Drosophila melanogaster: one gene and its partner. The protein of the gene in region 1 purifies or fractionates together with the protein of each later gene. This does not show direct contact. Each region holds a gene or a part of one and is shown in the gene's direction. Other genes may lie near its edges.

Region 1 (7,406 bases):
TATTATTTATTTATTCACACATGCAAATTCGTGCATAAATTTGGCATATTCTATTTCTTTATGAATTTATGATGTTTTGGCCAATTATTGTCACTAATTGTAAGTGATGTTTGTTTTAATGATTTAAATTATTTTTACAGATATACTTCCCCCTATTTCTCTCAGTGTTGCTTGTTTACAAGGTTTAGAGTGTGCCACCCATTCACAATTTGCCAGCAAAGTCACTTGCTTCTCGCATTTCACTCACCTGTGCCATTTGCGGCTTGCGATTGAACTCGCGCGGATCCAAGCTGCTGGGGTCCAGGTGGATGACCAGGTTGCAGAGCAGCACGCCGTCGCGCAGCGTCATCGCCAGGATGCGGATCTCGGCGTCCGGCTGGGCGGCCTTGTGGTCGGGCGGAATGACCTTGCACCTGGTCAGCCAGGCGACGCACTCGCGCCACAGATCCCCGTTCACGCCGGCCACGCCCCCAAAACTGTTGCTGCTACTGCTGCTGGCCATCTCGCAGTGGTTGGGTTGGGTATTACTATATGGATTGGGATTTGGTTTTCGTTTCGGATTTGGAGGAGGGGTTGCGGGTGGGGCGCTGGCGTTGGCGGTGATGGTGTGAAGTGGGGCGCGGGCCCAACTGGCAAGTGTTGGAGGGGGGAGGAGGAGGGTGGGTGGGTGCTACTCGCGTCGCGTTAATGGACACAATTGAGACTCATCAGTTGGCCGTTGCGATTGGATTGGTGAACCCGAGCACAGATACACAGAGCAAAAACGGAAGGCAATGAAGAGCACAACACTAGCCAACACCACACACAACAAAAACAACGATTTCGGGACAATTCGAGCGTAGTGGGGTGTATCGCGTTCGCGAAGGGCTCACCCTGTGCACCGGATACGCGCGAACAGTGCTTGCGGCTGCCGAGTTGCTCAGAAAGTGCTCGCCACTGTGGTTTTAAAACTAATTTACTTTATTGCAAAATATTGCGTTTATCGAAGAGGAAGAGCATACTCGACTTCGATAACAGTCTGGGCGGCCGTGTAACCGCTTGCGGCTCCTTCGAAAATACCAACTGCATGTGTGGTATTTACGATATGTTAATAGCATTGTTACTTTGTGACGAAAATTAATTGTGCACCTCGGTATGCTTTAATATAACAAGTTGATGTAAATTAGTAAGTAGAGTAAATACACATGACATATATTGACTCCAAAAAAAAAGTCACCAAATAATCTTGCAGAAGAATATTAAGTAAATTTTCCCTTACAGTATTTGTTTTAATTTCGTAATTTATAATCATATAAAATAGTTCTACGATAAGGAGAATTCCTATCTGGGGGTAATTCAGCTGTCCTCGAATTTCTCAGGTAATATTTTGAATATTTCCGTTCAATTTTTATAATTAGTGCACAAGAAATTCATTATATTACAGACACTAGCCTTTCAGAGGAAGTAAGCAAGCAAAATTGTATGTCAAATGTAAATGTAAGATGTAAGTGTAAAATGAAATGTTTTTCATTGAAAGTCGCGTAAATATTCCAAATTCTCGTGCCCGCGGTGGCGCTTCGTAGTTGGTTTTTTCTCCTGCGCCGACGACGGTCACTTTAAAGCGGCGAGCAATAAAAAAAATGTAAATTGTGCAGCAAGTGAAATTGAAAAGCAATATATTTAAGTGTGATCTGTGTGTTGTGGTGTGTGGGTGTGTGTTCGACATACAGCTAATAGGCGAGCGGGCGACGGCGCCGCACCCGCCTCGCCACGCCCCCATCGGCGAATCGAAAAAGAGGCGAAGCAACGCGATGGCCTCCCAACATTCCAGTTGGCGTTTTGGCAAGCGGAGCAAATTACAATTACGCATCAAAGGTAATGTAACGAATGTGCTAATTGACATCAAACACGGCGACGGTGGCATCGGCATAATGGCGCAATCACTCCGTTCGACGTTTTGTCTCACATGGCTCGCCCCACCGACCCCCGCCATTCCATTCAGTTTGCATTATTTTGCATTACGGCGAGGCATAAGCATTACAGCAGCAGCTGTTGTTGTTGTTGTTGTTGTTGTGGATCTTGAGCCGACCTCATCCCCAACCCCACCTACCCCTCCAGCAGCCTTCTGTTTATTGGACTTGGCCAATAATTGGTAGCAAAGGGTTCTTTTTTTTGTTGACATTGATGGCAACTAGCAACAACAATAATATGTTGTTGAGGGGGGCGGGAATGAGCACACTGGCAGCATTGCCCATAACGGTAACGATGTAGCAGCGATGCAACAGTGATGTACGCATGTATCGACAGCATGGCATTCTGATCAACATTTCTCCTGATCTCCTCAGTGTTTCCTCCGTTATTTATACATTTGTTGTTGTTCTCGTTTCTATTTTCTATTTAGTTTTTATTTTTATTTATGTATTTTTTGGTTTTATTTTGGTTACTTTTGTTGTTGTTGCTGTTGCCATTTGACCAAATTCTTCGACTACATGTTGGCCGATTATTTATAGAACGGTCGCCACAGCATAGAGAGAGCCCCCAAAAACGATGACGCAGCACAAGCAACAACATAGACATTCACTAAACATCGACCATAACAATAACAGCGATAGCAACAGCAGAAACAACAACAATAACAACAGCCACTACTAGAACTACAAAAACAATAACATACGAAATGCTCAGCTTGGTTTCTTCCATTCATCGTGTCCTTCACTCTTTCGTTCTTCTTCGCTCGTCATGCTCTCTCCTTTCTCTCTCTCTCTCTCTCTGTCGCTCTCCCCCTTTTCCAACCAAATCCATCATGCAAGTACAGTTAGCTGTAACGACGACAACTGCAACAACAACGAAACTGTTATGACGCTGTGTTGTTGTCATTTCACGTGCACAGCCTGCGTCAGCGTCGGCAGAGACAGAGGCAGCGGCTGAGCTGATTAGCTTTCCACGATCCACGATCAATTTCACTTTGATGGCTTTCTAATGCAAGTCGCTGTGTGCATGCATGTGTGCACCTCCTCTTGACCGTAAAAACCCCATGTACTATGATGATTTGAACATGTGCATATCCGAAAAAGCTATTACTTGCAAATAATATTTATGTAATATTCAAGTACATCGATGTGGCCATATTATTCATTCATAAAAGGTTGTTTTAATTAGTAATTAGTGTGTACGGATCTGATAAGAAAAGCAATGAAACTTTTCCTCCATTACAGTTTCGCAGGATCCGGAGGACTTCTACCGCCTGGATCCACAGCGATCGGCCGCCGAAAATGCATTCGAAATATACTCGATGCTCTGTTTGGAGGAGACGCGGGACACGAAGCGCCTGTTTCTGCTCAACGCGCTGGCCTCGCTCTGTTTGGGGGCCCGAAAGGGCTCCCACCACAGCAATATACGCTTCACCACCGAGGAGCTGCTCTACTGGTAAGATGCCCGTTGGGGAAACCATTGTTCTTAACATGGCTAATTGATCGCCCTTAATTGCAGCCTTAGTGCCTCACTGGTGCACACCTTCACCCAAGTGCGAGCGGCGGCACTGCGAACGATCCGGTATGCCATTAGCACGCCCAATGACATCAAGACGTTCAATGCACTGCAGCTGCAGCACCTGCTCTGCCGCTCCATCGATCTAATGCTGAAGAACGACGACGAGCGCGTCCAGGCACTGAAGCTGGTCCGCAAGATGCTGGCCATCGCGCCGGAGGACATCAGTCCGGCGGTGGTGCGCTGCCTGGTCTCGCTGGCGGATAGCGGCATCGAGGAGAACGACAATCTGTTGCGTGCCTGCCTGGCCACCCTGGCAGAGTTCGCTGTGCTCAATCCGGCGCTGCTGATCGTCTGCGGCGGCGTCACCTCCATAACCCGCAATGTGCTAGAGTGCCACAATCCCCGCATCGCTGAGAGCCTGTGCGGCGTGCTTCTGTACCTGCTCGAGTGGCCGCAAACGAGGAACATCTGCGGTGTGCGGCTGGACTGCCTGGCAGCTCCTTATTGCGATTTCACCTACCGGCAGAGTATCGTCGATAAGAACAAGTGAGTGCCCTAGTGAAGATCCCACCAATCCCTCCTTGAATACTGCAGCTTGGCTGCAGAATACTACAAATGGGTTACCCAAAACAAAAAGCAGTTTATCAAGCCAGATGTAAGACGGATCCACTTCACTCATTAATTCGCCGAAAGTAATTTAATGTAGAGTAATTATATCTGCTGTTGAATTGTAACCAAATAATCGATGAACATCACGCCGTCTTTTGAGATTATCAAACAGCGGATGCAAACATGAAATTCTAAAATAGATAACTAAAGGCAGCACGGCCATTGACCTCGTTTCATGCTCTAAATGAGTAGTTAAATCGGGCGAAACACTTTTGGAAAATCGAACAAGACTATCCCACAAACATCTACTGAAGTTTTTTCACAAGATGTACTACTACAAGTTGTAGATAAGCGCTATCAGTTACATCATTCTTTTATAAATAAAACTATCTTTCAGGGATGCGCGCGAACTTCGCTACACCAGCTGTCGGCTGGCACTGCTGTCTGTGCTGCGCAGCTGGACGGGCACCCTCGAATTCTGTGATCCTAGCAAACCCTCAGGCCTGAAAGCAATAGTCGACGCTCTGTATTTGAACCAGATCGAAGTCAGAGTGAGTACATTCCCCTCTTAGTATCGATCTGAACTTACTGAACATGCAATTTGAACAGAAAGCAATATTGGATTTGCTGTACGAGCTGCTCACGCTGCCGCAGCCAACCTGGACGGATGACTATGCGGTGGCGTTGCAGGCTGTGGATCCGTCGGACTTCCAGGACACGTGGCTGCTGAGCAATGGTTTCGTGTCCGCCGAAGGGCGCTCCATTTTGCCAACGCTGGCGGCGCGTGCACCGAGCGTAGTAGAGCAGCACCTGGCGCTGATGCTGTACTGTTTCCTCGAGACTGGACTGCTCAATGCGCTCGTCGAGGTTGTGGTGAGCAGCGATCAGTTCGTCTCGGTACAGGCTACGGTGCTGATTGGCAAGATCCTGCAGCTAATGCACACCCACCTGCCCCCGGATATTTGCTGTACGAGTCCGGCACTGCCCACGCTGGTGAGTCATGCCACATTGGGGAACCAGCAGGCCAATGCAGCGGTGGCCGCTCTGCAAAACTACCAGAAGTTGCTGCGCCAGCGGCCGGCGTCGCGCAGCTTATTCCTAGACAGCATTATCCAGGGCGGTGCTCTCATCCAGACGCGACTGTTTCGTCGGCACCTCAACGTGCAGGAGCAAGCGGGTCCTGTGCTACAGTTGCAGGAAACGGCGGAGGCGGCGGCATTTGCGGTACCGCCTGTCACTCAGTTTCGCGGCACCCTCGATCGTTCTCGGCTGGATTCTGTCTCCTCCAGCGACGAGTCCAACTCACAGGCTTCGACCTCGTCGAGGTCCAGTTTTCGACTGAAGCGTAAGTTCCTTCCGCAAGCCTTATATGATAACTTCCGAGCCTTCAATCGGCTGCTGACAGACTCCCGTGTGCTGAGCCAAGCGGACGCGCATCTTTGGGACTGGGATGTTATTACCACCATACTGAAGGTAAACTAAATCAGAAAATATTATGGTATCTCCAGTTTATAAACGATTCTCATCTTAACATTTGCAGTCGAATTTAATCCGCAAACTGGACTACACCCAAGGAAAGTTCCTGAAGCGACTCGTGGACTTCTACAAGCCGCGCAATAATCGGTTCTCTCACCAGGATTTGGTGCCTGGACAGAGGCTGCCTACATATGTCAGTGCCGGATTGGATTTAATTGACGTCCTCCTGTCCAGCAATGAGGTAGATTCTCTTAATGATGGCCTAATTAGTGAAAATAGCCTAAAGTTACTCGTTAATTTGCAGCTTGAATGTATGCGCTTTATAACCGACTACTTTTCGGACATCAGCCAACAGCTGGCGGCCGTCACCACATCGAATCGTGCACACGACTGTCTATTTAGTCCACAGCATATGAATAACACGATGTGTCAGCAGTATTTCCTCTACATCGGACGCATGTGCCGAACCGTAAAAGGCATCGAAGTACTCAAAAATACCACCGTATTTGAATAGTGAGTGCTGAGTGATATGTACATAATTTGACTTAAATCTTGTCAAATTAGGTTAAAGAATCTAAAGATGTTAGACCAAAACGAATCGACTAATCGGAAGGGGTTAACTCATTCAATATTAACTAAACCTAGTAAGACCTTCGCTAATCGAGATTTCCTTAATTTCAGCTTGATCAATTTGGTGCGGGTGACGGACCACGTCTGCTATGTGAAGCTAATTGTGTCCGGCCTGAACTACAGCTACGAGAAGCTACCACGTCAGGTGCTGGAAAAGGCGCTTACGTCGGCGAAGACACGCGGACGTCTGTACTCCACCCAGTTCATGGCAGTGCTGCTGCGTGCCCGTCTGCCTCACTTTGAGGTATGGGGCATTCCATTGATTATCAACCAGACGCGGGATTCGGACCGTAGCGTGGGGCTGGCAGCCATGGATGTACTGGAGGAGGCCTGCCACGACAAGTACTACCTGGAGGAGATTGTCAGTCGGTGGCCCAATCTAACGCATCGTGGTGATGCAGGACGGCTGCTGATGGCCCGCTATTATTCACTGCCCCGCGGCCTGAACAGTACGATGGCACGAATCGAGGATGAGATCCGCTACTGGCGGAATGGGTACAACAAGCGCTACGTGCTCCTCGTGGAAGCCGACACCCACTCAAGCCTGACGCTGCACATCCGCAATGAGGATGGCTACTACTCGCGTCGCAATTGCAACCAGAGACCACAGACTGTACCACCAAACGTTGCACCTCATCTGTACGGGCAAATGGCACAGACTGGCCAGGGTATGACAGCTCTGCGGAAGCACGGAGACCTGCCGCAGCTATTGGAACTGCTCAGACGCGCCAAATGCACGGACGATGCCGAGTGCCTTGAACTGAAGGCCGCCATTTGGGCACTGGCCCACGCCTCAACCCACTCCAATGGAATTGAATACTTTGTCGAACTGAATGCCAGGTAAGTCACATACATATCACATAACTTCGAATCGTGTCCCACGAATTTGAAAGAGTATACACAAAAGATGCAAGATGTTACAAAGTTATTTATTGTTTGTAGACTATACGAGAAGCTTATTGTTCTGGTGACCAAATGCGAGGTATATTCGGTGAGGGCCACCTGTTTTAGTGCCTTAGGTCTTATCGCAGGCACACAGGCAGGTGCCAATATCCTTTTTAAGTTGAGTAAGTGTCCCATCACAAATGTGTTTGAAAAACTGATTGTGTCCTAATTGAAAAATGCATGTTTTGCAGACTGGCTGAGCGTGCGACATGACAAGAACACAATGTGGCCCGTGCATCAGCCGGAGGATTGGATGTCCAGCCAGTACACACCGGTGC
Region 2 (5,781 bases), on another chromosome or scaffold:
AGGAAATAAGGGAACCGAGGACTCATTAACCGTGGCTGACGTCATAACTGCCACGCCCCCAAATGTTTGAGCACACTGTGATTCGACGGTGATTATTTGCATGCTGTGCACTGCCGAGCAAACAATTGGCCAACACAAAAAAAAAAGGGCGGCAAGTGTTGGCCGGGAAACGGAGCGTTATTGCCACACAATCTCAGCGTGCAAATATTTGAACTGTATAAAAAAGCGCACACACACAAAATTAAATTCCCCAAACGGCGACCTAAAAAGGGGCGGGGCAGAACAAGCTATTGATTTCATTGAAAACACAACCCCTAAATCTGCAGCAAGGATTTTTTACAATAGAAACTGAAACGGAATCGCGGTTTTACATATTTCTGTTTAAGAAGAGATATATATGTACTTTGTTACTAAGTTCAAAAAGGATAATGCTTACACAAAAAATTAAATAATCAATTAAGGAATAGTTTTCAAATTTAAACAGAATACGCTGCATTCCCCTACTATTTAAATAAATTTAATTAAATTAACTTATCAACTCCGATGAGATCAGCATCCTATAAATTAGCTGCAGTTTCTTGCCATCTTCACATGACTGCTTAAACTTATGAGCTGAGATCAGGAGCAGGACATTTACCATAATAAATTTATAACAAATGACATTGGGCAGCTTAATAAATGTGAACCTATTAGTCCGAGGCCCCAAGCAGTGACCATTTAAGCAGCCGCATGCCAATTGAACCAGGCGCACACATGCACAGCCAGAAAATGTGGCAGGACGACGATGTGGACATGAAATATTATTTCCCTGTGCGAGCGGAAGTGTGAGTAGTCCGGGGAGTCAGATGTATAAATAGTTTGATTTAGTGCCGCAAAAACGATGACTGCGAAGGCCACAAGGACATGGTCAGAGCGAGCGGTGGATGCTGATAGCAAGGACTGTGCGATCAATTATTGCTCCATGACTGCTGGCGGGTAAACAAGTCAGGAACGTGCCTTTAATTAGTTTCAATCAAATAGTCGAGAAATCACATGTATAAATTATAGACCCATCGGGCGATTCCTTTACCTTTCTTCTTCGAACTTAACGAACAACAGTGAGTGGTAACGTGACTATTTGGGCAAACATATTTGTCACATTAATGACGCAAGAATGTTGGCCTGACAAGCTGGAAAAGGGACAGTTTTACGGCTGTGCGAAATGTGTCATTAAAGCGACAATTTACGCACTGTGAGGTTTTGGGACTTGCGAACGAGAGAATTGATGATGTGACTCGGGAAAATCCAGCGAATATCATACATATGCTCATAAAATGGCACATCATAAAGGGTGCAGTTAAAACGTCTTTAGGGTCCGTAAATCGACGGGTTAGCCTGATTCACGCAACAATGTCAACAGAGATCGGATCGATTAGCAACAGGGATAGCGAAGGATTCGCATTGGTTATCTGCATATTTATTGCATTTATTGGTGTAATTCAATGGAGAACTATGTTGGCCTGCATATATATTCATATCTGTATATTCAATGCAATATTCTTCACATTCCATCTTTCCGTCGGAATCGCCGCTATTTGTATGTTTAGGTGTGAGTTGGGTTGTGTGTTTTCGTGGTATTTCATTTAAAATTATTGCCATTTCTAATGTGTAGTCTCAATTATGATTTCGTGCGTATCCAGATCGGGCACGGCAAACTTCATGGGCAAATAGTCGTCTGGATGCATGTGGGACATCTGGTTAACCTCCAGCTGGGCCCTTTCGTGGTCCTCATGGCACTTGGCTTCGTGCTTCTCATAGTCAGCGAAGGTATCAAAGATGGCCCGACACACCATGCATTCGAAAAAGCTTCTGAAAATGAAATGTTTTAATTCAATAATAAAATTCACAACAAGCAAATGTAGAAGGATCAAGGATAGTTTTGAGGCTAGTCAATTAATATATAAAAGTATTGATTGGGAACGTGTACACCTTCAAAAATGCATATAGTATTAATTGTTCATAAAAGGGAAATGAGCACAGTTAAGCACACTAATCAGCACCGAATCTAATCATGACCCGTCGATAATCGGTGTCGAATAGGCAACTTAAGGTAGGTCTGAACAGGTTGAACTAATCAAAGGGCACCTTGATCTTCTACAGCCGGCAAGTACTCACGGTTTCTGCTCCGACTCAAGCCGTTCCCTGGCCAGGGCGGCAGCCGCCTGGATAGAGGCGGGCACGTCCACATCGACGCCCTCCTTTATGTGCGACTGCAAGTGGCGCTTAAAGTTTGACAGCTGGGTGAAGCCCTTCTCGCAGTAATTACACTGGTAGGGCTTGGCGTTGAGGTGGCCAAGCTTGTGTTTCTTGAGGTTAACCAGCTGGGAGAAGTACCTGCCGCATCGCTGGCAGCGGAACGGCTTCTCGCCAGTGTGTGTCATCTTGTGGCGCTTCATGTTGCTCTGCTGGGTGAAGGACTTGTTGCAGAAGTTACAGGTGAATGGCCGCTCCCCGCTGTGCACCGCATAGTGGCGCTGCAGGTTCACAGCCTGGGCGAAGGCCTTCGAGCAAATGTTACACACGAAAGGCCGCACATCGTTGTGCACCTTCATGTGACGATCCAGGTTCCCCGAATTGCAGAAGCTCTTCGCGCACAGCTTGCACTCGTAGGTGGTCTTGTTGTGGTTGTGCACCTCTTGTCGATGCAACGTCTGATCCCGCTTGCTTCTGAAGGTCTGCATCAATGGATAGTGGTTAGATTGAGGTAATAGGAGACATTTCCCACACACTTACTCGGTCGCAGCGCTTGCAGCTGAACTGATTGGCCACCGTCTCGTCGAATTCTACCTCCATGCCCGCCATTTCGCCGTTGGCTAGCACATCGACTCTATCCGATTGGGAGTTCTCAAGAAGTGGACATCGAAAAACGGCAGGTCAGGCGACGATAAACTCACTATAATTAACTTATTCTGTAACTCGGCAATTTTTCGCGTCCAGAAAAAAGTCATATGGTGGCCTAGAGTGACCGTTTGCGTTGAATGAAAAAAGACCAGATTTAACGAGTACCGCTACAACTAGACTTGCATGTAAATTCAAAATATTACTTTGATAATAAGTACTTGGTATAACCTTTATCTTAATTGCATAATTTAAGTATATTCATGTAGTAGGTATTCCTCTTATGTTCTGTTGGGAACGGTGACTTGTGCGTGCTATTCGTTACCACCACCAAAAAGTGACCAGTAACAACCGCAATGTTCCATCTCTAGATAATCCAAAGGCGTTAGTGCATTTTTCCGAGATGCTGAGATAAATAGAAATTAATTTTGAAAAAGAGATTTTCTTTTGTTTACTACCATGGCGACCTACTCCAACCAGCATTGGCTGCTCTCCCACATCCGCAACTCCTTCATATCCACGGACGACACCGGAATGTGCGAGACGGTGATGCTGAGCGATGACATGCCCAAACACTATTTGCGAAAATTCGGTAACTCGGGCGCTGGAGGAGATCACTATCATTGGCGACGGGCGCACAAGACACCGCCGACGGGGGGCGGGACAACACCGGAGCGGAACACCCGGCATCCGGATGCGCCACTCCAGGAAGTGGACTTCATCTGCTATCCGGGACTGGACCTCAGCGACGACGAGGAGGACATGTCCACGCACTCCTTTGACATCCAAATGTATCCGGAGGTGGGCGCCCACCGCTTTCGCTCCAACACTGCCCAAAAACTAGAGAAACTGGATATTGCCAAGCGAAGGGCGGCGCGCATCAAGAGTGTTAACTACCAGGAGGAAGTGCAGCCACCGGAGAGCGATGATTTCTTTAAACGCAAAGAGTTGCCCCTCAGCAAAGCTGAGCGAGTTAAAAATGAACCGAAAGCCAACGACGATGATCTGTCAGATGAGGGTGTTCAGAGCCAGCTCACTGAACAGTTGGCCAAAAGTCCAAAGCAAGCACAGAATCGCTTCATTGAATTCGCCCGCTTCGATGGCACCTCCCAAGTGGGTATGCAAACGAAACGGATAAACGTGTTTTTAAATATGCTTCCCGAGCCGGATCGCAACTACCCGTTGAAGATCTGCGTCGTAGCCACTGCCAAAATCCAGGAGGTAATTGGTTTTGTCTGCTACAGGACCTCCTTACAATATCCCGACGTTCCTTTGAAGTCCCTGCAGCATTACGCTTTGTATATGACAGAGGATAATGATGATATGGAAGACTTCCCACCGTTGGACAATCGCGAACCCTGCTCTAAGTTTGGCTTCTCCCAACTGACCCTCGCAGAGCGTCGGCCATTGGCTCCAGTGACGCGAGTTGATTACCACAGCCAGCTGGGCAGTAAATCCATGACTTCCGTGGAAGACAAGACAGCTCTGTCCGATGCGGCTGTCAAGGCTCTGCAAAATATTAGCCTAAATGGAGGAACTAGTGATCCGGGTGGAGGAGGTGGAGGAGGCGATAGTCCACACGATAATGTCAAGGAGTATGAGAAGCGATTGTTGAATCACAACGATATGCTGGAAGCACCCATGCATCGTACTTTCCGCCTCAACATCATCGACAAGAGGTTCTTCAAATCCGATGTGACTCTGGGAATATCTGGTGAGAGAATAGAGATCGATCAGTGCAAGAATGCCAAGTTCTGGCCGCAGAAGAAGCCCGTATCCACTCCCATTGACTTTGTTGCTCACTGCGAGATTTTGGAGCGACGCCACCTGAAGGCTCTGTTGCGCATCTGGCTGAAGTCAAACTCCTCGTCCCCTTCCTTCTCCACGGGCTGCACTTCGGCGCCGATCAACGCCAGCGTAACCACACTGAATGCGGGAAGCGGCAGTGGTGGGATTGCCCACTCGCCCAGCAGTCCGGGTCACTCTTCCGGACTCTTTTCAAGCAGCAATATTCGCTTTAAGCACTACGACTTCGATACGGACACCCACACGGCGGAGCAGATCCACAACAAGCTGAACTGCATACTAGAGATGCGATCCAGCGATCTGAGGCGCGAGTTCCTTTTGCAGCGCGATCGGAAGCAGGAGAAGAGGCAGCTGAAGTTGTAGTATTTATTCCTATGGCAGCGGCTGTCGCTCGTTTGCCTAGCAGGCGGGCAACTGTCACTGCCGCTGCAACGTCCCCGCCTACTTCTCCGCCTCCGCCTCCGCCTCCTGTTCGATAAGTTGTATTAGTTGCTAACTAAAGATTGTGTTACACATGTTTGCCTAGCCTGTAAGTATTTATTGAACTCACCCAACTACGAAGCCTGGTCCTGAAAATAAAATTGCAAAATTTACACTTAAAATCGGTAATCTCTACATTTTTGCTTCCGCCTTGCCGCTGGCGTTTACATTGCGGTTTTGAAGCGATTCACGCGCGATTTGGCCGCGTTTTTAGCAGTATATCTGGTTTTCATTTCCGTTTTTCTCACTCTACCCACTGCAATTGTCTGTAATCAATGTGCAATTAATCGCACAGACAACCAGACGGGGACGGATCCAACGGTTAGTCGTATTACTGCACATATTGTTTTCGGTCTGGCTGTTTATTTTTAGTTTTGCAATGCCAGCGATGACTGGGTTGGGCGCCTAGGTCGCCTGCTAACAGCTGTGGAGTAGTCGAGAATAATGGCTAACTGCCGTTAGACGATCGTTGCATGCATATGCATCTGCAGCGTCGGCTAACCAAGCGATTGCAGCAGCGCGTTCTAAGGCCAAGGTTAGTGACTCGAAATCACGCCAAAATGCGCGACATTTGAGGCCGTTCGTCTGATGGCGATGATGATGCTGTTGGCGTGACCA

The links. Proteins that work in one complex are often made in the same cells at the same time.
Region 2: the proteins of rictor (region 1) and Sin1 purify together in Drosophila melanogaster (affinity purification with mass spectrometry; 2 studies listed by BioGRID). This does not show direct contact.

Annotation. Positions count from the first base shown.
Region 1 is NC_004354.4:19,255,435-19,262,840, reverse strand, and holds the start of rictor (rapamycin-insensitive companion of Tor), read left to right. Parts: upstream 1-1,600; 5' UTR 1,601-1,790; coding exon 1,791-1,854; intron 1,855-2,997; exon of another isoform or gene 2,998-3,096; coding exon of another isoform or gene 3,097-3,124; intron 3,125-3,194; coding exon 3,195-3,405; intron 3,406-3,468; coding exon 3,469-4,014; intron 4,015-4,474; coding exon 4,475-4,628; intron 4,629-4,686; coding exon 4,687-5,550; intron 5,551-5,617; coding exon 5,618-5,794; intron 5,795-5,857; coding exon 5,858-6,066; intron 6,067-6,234; coding exon 6,235-7,023; intron 7,024-7,125; coding exon 7,126-7,250; intron 7,251-7,319; coding exon 7,320-7,406. Other genes in the region: Vav guanine nucleotide exchange factor, read right to left, coding at 248-502.
Region 2 is NT_033778.4:14,408,571-14,414,351, forward strand, and holds Sin1 (SAPK-interacting protein 1), read left to right. Parts: upstream 1-3,254; 5' UTR 3,255-3,336; coding exon 3,337-5,046; 3' UTR 5,047-5,281; downstream 5,282-5,781. Other genes in the region: CG17385 (uncharacterized protein), read right to left, coding at 1,641-1,848, 2,155-2,714, 2,773-2,841. UniProt on the Drosophila melanogaster protein: Component of the target of rapamycin complex 2 (TORC2), which transduces signals from growth factors to pathways involved in proliferation, cytoskeletal organization and anabolic output.